Regions from separate parts of the Mus musculus genome. Here region 1 is reported to be linked to region 2. Evidence: microRNA targets listed by miRTarBase, many of them from high-throughput screens and not tested one by one. Region 2 holds a microRNA gene; the other region holds the end of a gene's coding sequence.

The links. The annotated mature microRNA mmu-miR-875-3p reads CCUGAAAAUACUGAGGCUAUG and lies in region 2 at 1,147-1,167, shown strand. An mRNA with a match to its seed (bases 2 to 7 or 8) in the 3' UTR can be bound and repressed. Matches are read on the target gene's strand: a 7mer-m8 pairs with bases 2 to 8, a 7mer-A1 pairs with bases 2 to 7 and ends in A, and an 8mer does both.
Region 1: miRTarBase lists Gmip as a target of mmu-miR-875-3p. Seed matches in the 3' UTR shown: 7mer-A1 at 2,428-2,434.

What each region holds. Positions count from the first base shown.
Region 1 is chr8:69,818,186-69,824,257 of GRCm38, reverse strand. Gmip (Gem-interacting protein) reads right to left here. Exons shown (of 21, transcript NM_198101.1): 20 at 3,758-3,824; 21 at 2,388-3,661. The coding sequence ends at 3,282. Lpar2 (lysophosphatidic acid receptor 2) reads right to left here and starts at 1,693. Exons shown (of 3, transcript NM_020028.3): 1 at 1,547-1,693; 2 at 1-704. The coding sequence starts at 695.
Region 2 is chr15:35,659,149-35,662,148 of GRCm38, reverse strand. It overlaps Mir875 (microRNA 875), which reads left to right and starts at 1,102; the gene lies at 1,102-1,179. All of the region lies in intron 30 of Vps13b (vacuolar protein sorting 13B), which reads right to left. Mir599 (microRNA 599) reads left to right here and starts at 1,231; the gene lies at 1,231-1,318.

The DNA.
Region 1 (6,072 bases), not on the chromosome of region 2:
GTCTCTCGGTAGCGGGGATGGCAGCTGACGTGCTCCGCCATGCGTTCCACCCGTCTACGCACATAGAAGAAAATTCGTGTGTAGACAGCTACCATGAGTAGGAAGACAAGCAGGCTGGATAGGGCCCACGCAGCCAAGTAGGAGCGGCTGAACAGGGGCACCATGCGTGAGCAACTGTCCAAGTCACAGAGGCAGTGCCAGAAGTGTGCAGGTAGCAACCCCAGACCCAGTGCAGCCGCCCACACACCCACGATGAGTGTGACCACACGGCCCCGGGGCAGGCGGCTGTGTAGCTGTACCGCCATCACACTGCGGTGCCGTTCCACAGCGATGGCCAGCAGTGTGGCCACTGACGCCGTGAGGCTGGTGTCCAGCAGGCCCTGTCGCAGGAACCAGCCTTTGATGGAGAGCCTGGCAGTGCGTGGGCCAGTATGGAACATGAGGAAGAGGTAGGCCATGCCAGCGAAGAGGTCAGCCGCAGCCAAGTTGCCAAGCAGGTAGTATATGGGCTGGTGGAAGCGTCGGTTGGAGGCGATGGCTGCAATAACCAGCAGATTGGTCAGCAATACCAGCACACTGACTGTCAGCCCCAGGGCCACCACCACCACATCTTTGGGGCGCCAGTGAAGGCTGAGCTCCTTGCCGCTGTTATTATAGAAAAAGCCGATGGTCTCGTTGTAGTAGCACTGGCCCATGATGGCTGCCTGTGGATACAGAAGACAGATCAGTGCAGGTGGCCCCTGATGGAAGGGCACTTGAACAAAGCAGTGGCCAGAGACTAGAATCAAGATTGGGTGAGTGCAACCTACAGGATCAGAGGCCCTCTGTGCAAGAAGTCTGTGCTGAAGGCCAAAGTGACCTTTAAAAAGCAATTTCTATTTATTTACTCATAAAGCAGGGTCTCTCGATGCATCCCAACTGACCTAGAACTTGCTTTGAGACCACACTGGCCTCAAAATCAGAGATCCACTAGCCTCTGCTGAATGCTGGCATAACAATTTAAAACGGTTTTCTGATCGGCTTTTCTTTTCTTTTTTAAATCTTAAGAACCCAGAGCAAATGCATCCACATTGCAATTCAGTGCCACGTGCCACTAATCCGTGACTGGGTTGGACACCTGTGGTTTTCAATGGGCGTGGGTGGGTTGGCTGGGGCAGCACAAAGGCGGAGTGAGCTGCTGGGGTTAGCCTTAAGAAGATCAAACTTGTGCCAGGGTCCTTGCACAGTGCAGAGGCCAGGGGGTGTGTGCACACCAGAGCGAGGTCCGTGGTCAACACCCGGAGGGCAATGCCAAGGCACTGAGGGGACTTAGCGCGAGCAGAGTAGACAGAGACCGCCCAGAAGTTGAGTTACAGGCAGGATTCCGCGCAAGAGCTCTGAAAGCAGTCCATTCCTGGGTGGGACTGAGGGCCAAGAAGGCCTCCAGGACAAAAGAGGGTATTGCAGACAACCCTGGGCTAGGAGAAGGATTGTGGAGAAGAGGGGGCCCCGCCTCGCTTTCTTCGGTGGCCTGCACCCACCCTAAACCGGTTGGTGTTGGTCTTACCTGCACATCCAGTCAAGCGGCAGATGGGGCTGGCTCGCGGTGGGTTGAAGCAGGACTGAGACCCATGGCCGGGCAACCGAGCGGTTGCGCAGCAGCGTCCGGTGTTCCTGGAGCCCCCGGCTGAGGAGGCGGGAGAGGCGGGACCTCAAAGCCACGCCCCCACCTGCCTTAGCTCTTGGCCCTTGGGGGTGTCCCGCCCCCTGGAAAGTCCCACCCCCACGTCGGAAGTGTGATCTCCTGAAACTGTGGTCATTTCACCGCCTCCCCACAGCCCCCTTTTCCCACGTGGGGCACCCTTTCTACTCCCCCCCCCCCCCCCCCCCGCACATCTCACGTGCTTGCCCTTTCGCGCCTTTGGGGCTGAGTCACCTGGCAGTTGAAAAGATCCACAGCGGGGGGGGGGGGGGCTCTGCGGGCGCCCCCCCCCCCGTTTCTGTCCAATCCTTTACCGAGCTGCAAGCCCCGCCCCACTGTTCCGTGGTCAATCTCCCGGCTGGACCCTCGCCCCACTGCTGCCGCACTACCTTGCTTCCCGAAGTCTCGCCCCAGCCTGCCGCTGGCTCGAGCCTGCAGCAGCCTCCTCCCCTGACCTCCCCCGGTTCGCAGCACACAGCCCCATTGTCCCGATTATCTGCACCGAGTTGTATTTGATTGTGTAGAACCGGATCAGGGACACTGAGCTGAGTGACTCATCTTGGGCTCCAGGCCCTACACTAATTGCCAGTAGGTTTCCCAGGGTGTGTTTAGAAGCCTTGGTTCCATCATCTGGCCCTTAATAAAGGGTTAAAGACGCTGCTCTTACTGGTGACTTATTGTCAGCATTCCAGCACAAAGACAAATGTGCAAGAACAGACAAGATTTATCTTATTTTATTTTGTTTTTCTGAAACAGGGTTTCTCTGTGTAGCCCTGGCTGTCCTGGAACTTTCTCTGTACACCTGGCTGGCATAAAACTCAGAGATCCTCCTGCCTCTATCTCCTGAGTGCTAGGATCAAGTAGAGGTGTGTGGCACTACCGCCCAGCGGATTTTTTTTTTTAAATTAAAATTTTCTTTTATTTGTGCATGTGCACAGGTCAGACAATTTGTAGGGATGGGCTCTCTCCTTCCACTAAGTGGCTCTGGGAGGTCCAACAAATGTGAGGCTTTACAGCAAGCACCACTGCGGTCAGCCCTCCTGCCGGCAGCAGGATATGGTTTTATTTGGAGGTTGTAAGAACACAGATTTAGCCAGCACTTGGGAGGCAGAGGATTTGTGGCTCACAAAGGGAGCTCCAGACCAGCCAGAGCTACACAGTGAGACTTAGCTTAAAACAAACAAACAAACAAACAAATTAAAAGGAGACAGGGCTGGGCTGCAGCCACCTGCTAACTTGGGAGTCTGTTACTGCTGCAAGTGTAGTAGGGCCAGGAGCCATTATGACTGAAATAGTCAAGACACCCGTCTCAGAGGTCAGAGACTCGGGTAGTCCCCAAGGATCTACTGATCTGTATTGACCATTGAGTCTTGACCCCGAAACACCTGCACCTGTGTTGCCTAGCTGTTTAAATCTCCTCTGGCAGGGAGATGATGGGACACTTCAACCAAGTGTCTTGGGACTCCCACAGGTAGGTAATCTTCATTACCGGAACTCACTGGTAACCCCGTCTCTCCCCACACCCCACTGAATTGGTTTGGTCACCAGGTTGGGTCAGGGACCATCAATTCAGTTCTGGGTCCCTCAGGATGGTAGGTGGTCAGAGGTGCTCTTCAGACTCCTCAGGCTCTGGGTCAGCACAACAGGTGGTCCTGGACACAGCATCACTGTTCAGCTTGGAGAGAAGTCGGGCTGTCTCCTGGGTGATCTCAAAGTGCTTGGGCAGAGGGTTCCGGCGCAGGGGGCTGCCTTCAGGGCAGGCAGCAGCAGGGCCCAAACCTCGTACCCTCAAACTACCTCGGTGCACTGCTGAGACAGTGACAGGAGTCTCCTCACACAGCTTGGAGGCCACCAGAGCCAGGCTGGAGAGTTGATGAGTAACTGGCCTCACACCTCCCCGGGAATACTTCACTGGCTGGCGGCTGAAGTGGCCCCGGGATTGTGCTCCCAGGGCCAAGTCCTCAGGGCAGTGGCTGGACCCTGTGGAGCGGTTAAGTGCTCAGCATCTCCAAGTTCTTTGGATGTACTCCCAGCCAAGCAACCCTGGGGCGAAGTGAGGGCTCTCTAGACACTCACCATCCCCTGCCCCATCTCTGGTGTCTTCCACCTCCTCCTCCCTCTGGTCCCTCTGCAGAGTTGCAAGCTGCAGGAAGAAACCCAGAACGTGACTCCCAATAGCAAAGTCCCTGTTTAGGGATTTCTGGAGAAAAGATCGGTAAATTAAGAGGATTCACTGTGGAAGCATGAGAACCCAAGTTTAAATGCCAAGCATGGCTGGGTGCTTGTAACTTCTGTATTGTGGGGTGGGGACAGGGGTCCTGGGAGCTCTTTGGCATGCCAGTTCAGCTTCAAGTTCAATGAGTGATCCTATCTCAATGCACTGTCTGCATATAGCCAGTGGTCATTTGCTGCTCCCCTTGTGCTCACGGGGACTAGCAGAGCCATCCCTTCTTTCCTGGTGCTGAGAAGCAAACCCAGAGCCTCTCATAGACTGATGAGCACGTTGCCACAGAGACTCATTTGCAGACTGGCTCTGATTCCTTCCTGCTTCTCTTACCCAGGCAGTATAACATAGGACTGGAGATGGCTCCCACCCCAGGGGCTTTGCACTGGGCTGTTCTACTGCCTGGTACAGCTTTTCCCAGATTTGACCATGCCTCATTTTGCCCCCATGTCATGCCACTCTTTGCTCAAATTCACCTGTCCCAAAAGACTTGCCCATATTATATTTTCTGCTGCAAACCCCTCTGGTCCTCACCATGGGCAGCCCTTACTCCATCTTCCTTTCTTCACAGGACCTCAGAATGTTGCATGTGCCCAATTTCATGATGATTTTTGGTCTTCTTTCTCTTGGATTCAGACACCAAAAGAGGGAGGGGTCTTTGAACATCTATCTAGCTCACTCATGTACCTGCAAGGCCTGGTACTTGATACTTCTAACAATGGGTGCTGAGCTGGCCCAGCTGTTTATTATAAACTCATTTAAATGGCTAAGTGGGTAAAAGTAACTGCCACTGAACTTGGCAATATCAATTTGATCTCCAGACTGTACGGGGGACTGAGAGAACTGATTCCTGCAAGTTGTCTTCTGACCTCCACACCTATGCCTGTGTGCCTCCTCCCACTAAATAAATAAGTTAAAAAGCCCTAGAGTTTGGGGGGTAAATACCCATAATGTCAGCTCTTCTATGGCAAGATGGGAAGCCCTCAGGAGACTCAGCAGACTGTCCTCTGACCTCTATAATGTCATAGCACCCATGTATTCCCACACACTAAGAAAATACATCTCTCGCTCTCTCTCTTTCTCTCTCTCTCTCTCTCTCTCTCTCTCTCTCTCTCTCTCTCTCTCTCTCGTTGGTTTTTCAAGACAGGGTTTCTCTGCACCCTGGAACTCACTCTGTAGACCAGGCAGGCTTTACACTCCCAGAGATCTACCTGCCTCTGTCTCCCAAGTGCTGGGATTAAAGTCATCACCATGCGTAGCCTAACAAAGAAATGTTGAAGAGAAAGGGAGACGATCAGAAAGGAGGTGCACACCTAACTGCAATCCTAGCATTCAAAGCACTAAGGCAGGAAGATCACAGAGAAAGACCATATCTCAAAGTCAGATAAAACAACAGAACAGCTGGGCGGTGGTGGCGCAGGCCTTTAATCCCAGCACTCGGGAGGCAGAGGCAGGCAGATTTTTGAGTTCGAGGCCAGCCTGGTCTACAGAGTGAGTTCCAGGACAGCCAGGGCTACACAGAGAAACCCTGTCTCGAAAAACCAAAACTAAAAAACAAAAACAAAACAGAATAAACAGTCAAGTAAGGCAGTAAGTTGGGGCTGTAGAAATGGTCAATGGCTAAGAACACTGGCTGCTCTTTCAGAAGACCCGGGTTCGATACCCAGCTCCCACATGGCAGCTCAAAAACTATAACTCCAGTTCCAGGGGATCTGATACCCTCAGAGATACATGAGACAAAACACCAATATACATTACAAAAAAAAAAAGGCTGGATAGGTAAAGGCATCTCCCACCAAGCTTGGCAAATCATTCCCAGGGCCTACAGGGCAGAAGGAAAACTACTCTCACAAGTTGTCTCTGACCATCACATGATACTCCCCTCCCATGCACAATAAATAAATAAATTAAGATGCAATAAAAGAAATCTAGTCTGGCTCAGGGGCTAGAGGTACTAAGTCTAAGGACCTGAATTCGGTCCCTAGGATCCAGGGGGTAAAAGGACAGGTTGCCATCTGGCCTTCACACTCACAACGGGACATGCGTGTGCCTGCATACTCTCTAAATGAATGTTTCTTAAAAATCCAAAAGAAACTTAAAGAGAGCGCTGGGGGTGTAACATAGAGCTGAGCACATGCCTAATGCACACCAAGCCCTGGAGTCAATA
Region 2 (3,000 bases):
TAGCCACTAAGATCACAGTCACTAAGAAAATTACTCAATTATAAAACATAAATATTTTAATGAAGATGAGTGTTGGGTAAGTAACATAAATCAATCCTTAATTACAACAATGCGGCTAGGCTAGATATGTAATGAACCTATACATTAAAGATGTCTGAACTTTAATAACCTGGACCACACCAGGGTCACAATTGGTAGCAGAACACTGATCATCATATAAAAGCCAGCAAACACATGAAAAGAATTACAGTACATCACACATCAAACACTATGGCCTGGTGCTTCCTTCCTCTAATCCTACTGGCAGGAAATGGTCTACACAGCTTTTGAGGTGACTAGACATATTTAAAAGAAGTCCCTTGTTCAGAAAAGCTCCTGGATGCTGCAGTTCTTAGCAGGATGGAGAGCACCTTCTGCTCTGCCGAGGACCACTGTACTACGCCTCCCGTGTCCACACAGCCCTGCAGCCACACTGAGAAGGTACTGGAATTGTATGATGCCATTTACTCTGCAAAGACTTAAAAAAAAAAAAAAATAGAAGGAATCGCCAAAGTTGTGTTTCCATATTGTATATAGCAGGTAAATTCATCCAAAATTGAAAAGATTTAACAATGTTACTTTGGATTAATAGAATCAGCTTTTGACCTGAGCCTGAATTATATACTTTTAGTGCAAGAATAAATTTCAGAAAATATCTTTCTCACATGACAATTCTTGAACCTGGACAGTATACAAATGATTCTGGTGTACTGTTAGGCTTTTTTGTTTGTTTTTAAAAAATACTACACTTCTGAGGATGTATTTTCAAATAAAATAATTGAAATTAAACAAATATGAATCCAGATAAAAGCAAAAATTCAGACTATCTAATGTTATGCAAAATAGGAAAGTATATATAAAATCAATTCTATTCCATTTTTCTTATTTTAAAATTCAAGTATGTTTATAATGTAACTTGACAATGTTTACCAGAATGAAAGCAAATTAAAGAATTATCTCTTTCATTAATGTCTCTTCTGCCACTAAGATGAACAAGGGGTGCTTCCATCCTATAACCCTGTGCATTTGTTTATTTTTCCTAGGTTTGGGGAAATTCCCAGTTCTGTGGTACTATACCTCAGTTTTATCAGGTGTTCATTAAAATCACCTGAAAATACTGAGGCTATGTTTCACTGAGCATAAGCTTCATGGATTCCTTGAGTGACTGCAGCTGTACTCACCACAAAGATGTGCTGTCCACAGTGTATTTGATAAGATGACATAGGAGAGGAACTTCTTTCACCTTTGTGTCAGTTTATCAAACCCATACCTGGATGACAAGCAATTCAATGGAAGGAAAACCAGTCCCAGAATTCAAAGCATTATTTCCTGTAGAAGAGCTCTGTGCTCTCTAAATGCCAAAGGCATAAATATACGACAGTTTCACTAAATGACTAAAGCCTTAAATAATATGGATAGAAACGGTTGCACTGCTAAAGTTATAACCACAGTTATTAAGGTTTACTGGTATGCTAGGGGATTTGGGTGAAAATAGCACTAAGGATAAATATGTATTACCTGATAATAAAATATGAGGAATTTATGTTAAAATTATGCTTTGACTTTGCTCAAAATTATTGACTTTTATATTTTTCGATTATTGTATTGCTTTGGTTCAGAATCCTCGACAAGAAAATTTATAGGTGGCAAACACAGGTTAAGGAAAGAGCATTCACAAATTAAAAACTGAAATTAGCATTTAGTTTTCTTGAAAGTTACCAATAGTCATAAAGGGTAGAACAGTGTTAATCTTTGACATATAGGCTACTATGGGCAGAAGTGAAGGCTGCAGGGGTCTGGGGGAAGTGTTAATGTGGCTATGTTTAAGCAATTAGTATTTCTCCTGTGGGAACTATCACTTCAAGAATGAAACAAGGACAAATAAGAAGAAAACATTCTATGGCCATTTTTACCTACCTTGATAATCAGGGCTGTGTTCCTTAGTACTTTTGCCAACATGAACTACTTTTCTGGTATCTTAACCTTATCAAAGTTCAGGGTTAGAAATTACAGAACAAAAACATCAGATTAAGGAATGGTTTCAATGAAGGGGATAAACAGCTTCTAAACAAAGGATAAGCCTTTCTAAGTGCATAAAAAAACTATTTAACCTACGACACTAATGACAGTGCACACTGTAATAAAGAAAGAGAAGCATGCGTGGGAAGGAAGTTGTCCTTCACACTGACCCTGCAGAGGAGAACTGTTCATTGCTGGGGCAGGGGAATGACACTTTCTAAGTCTGCATGCCACCTCACTGCTGCTCACCAGATGTTCATACGTGATATATACAGGTAATTTACTATGCATATGTAGTGAATATGTGTATGGTCCTTGCTTCTTAATTTGACACCTAATTAGCTTCTCTGTGGTAAAGATGTTAGGCTGTGGCTGTAAGTGGACACTAGTCAATACAGGCTAAAACAGTAAATAAGTGGCCTTTACAGCATCTCACATTTACAAGTTCACTAAAAAGATATTTTAAAAACAGGGAATGTATGATGTATCATGTACCCATCCTTTCATCAATGAACACATATAGGAAACAAACATACAGAATACTATTTAATTATAACATTCAATTATTTTATAATAGGCATTTAAGAAAACATAACACTATTTTACCATTTTTGTGTCTTGCATGTCAGTAGCCATGGTACACAAGCATTATATGCCAAGTATTATGGAGATTTAAAGGTTTAAAATTATTTTAAGGTCTATTTAACCTGTTTTCTTTTTTTTAAATTAGGTATTCATTTCATTTACATTTCCAATGCTATCCCAAAAGTCCCCCACACCCTCCCCCACTCACTCCCCCACCCATCCACTCCCACTTCTTGGCCCTGGCATTCCCCTGTACTGAGGCATATAAAGTTTGCACGACCAATGGGCCTCTCTTTCCACTGATGGCCAACTAGGCCATCTTCTGATACATATGCAGCTAGAGACACGAGCTCTAGG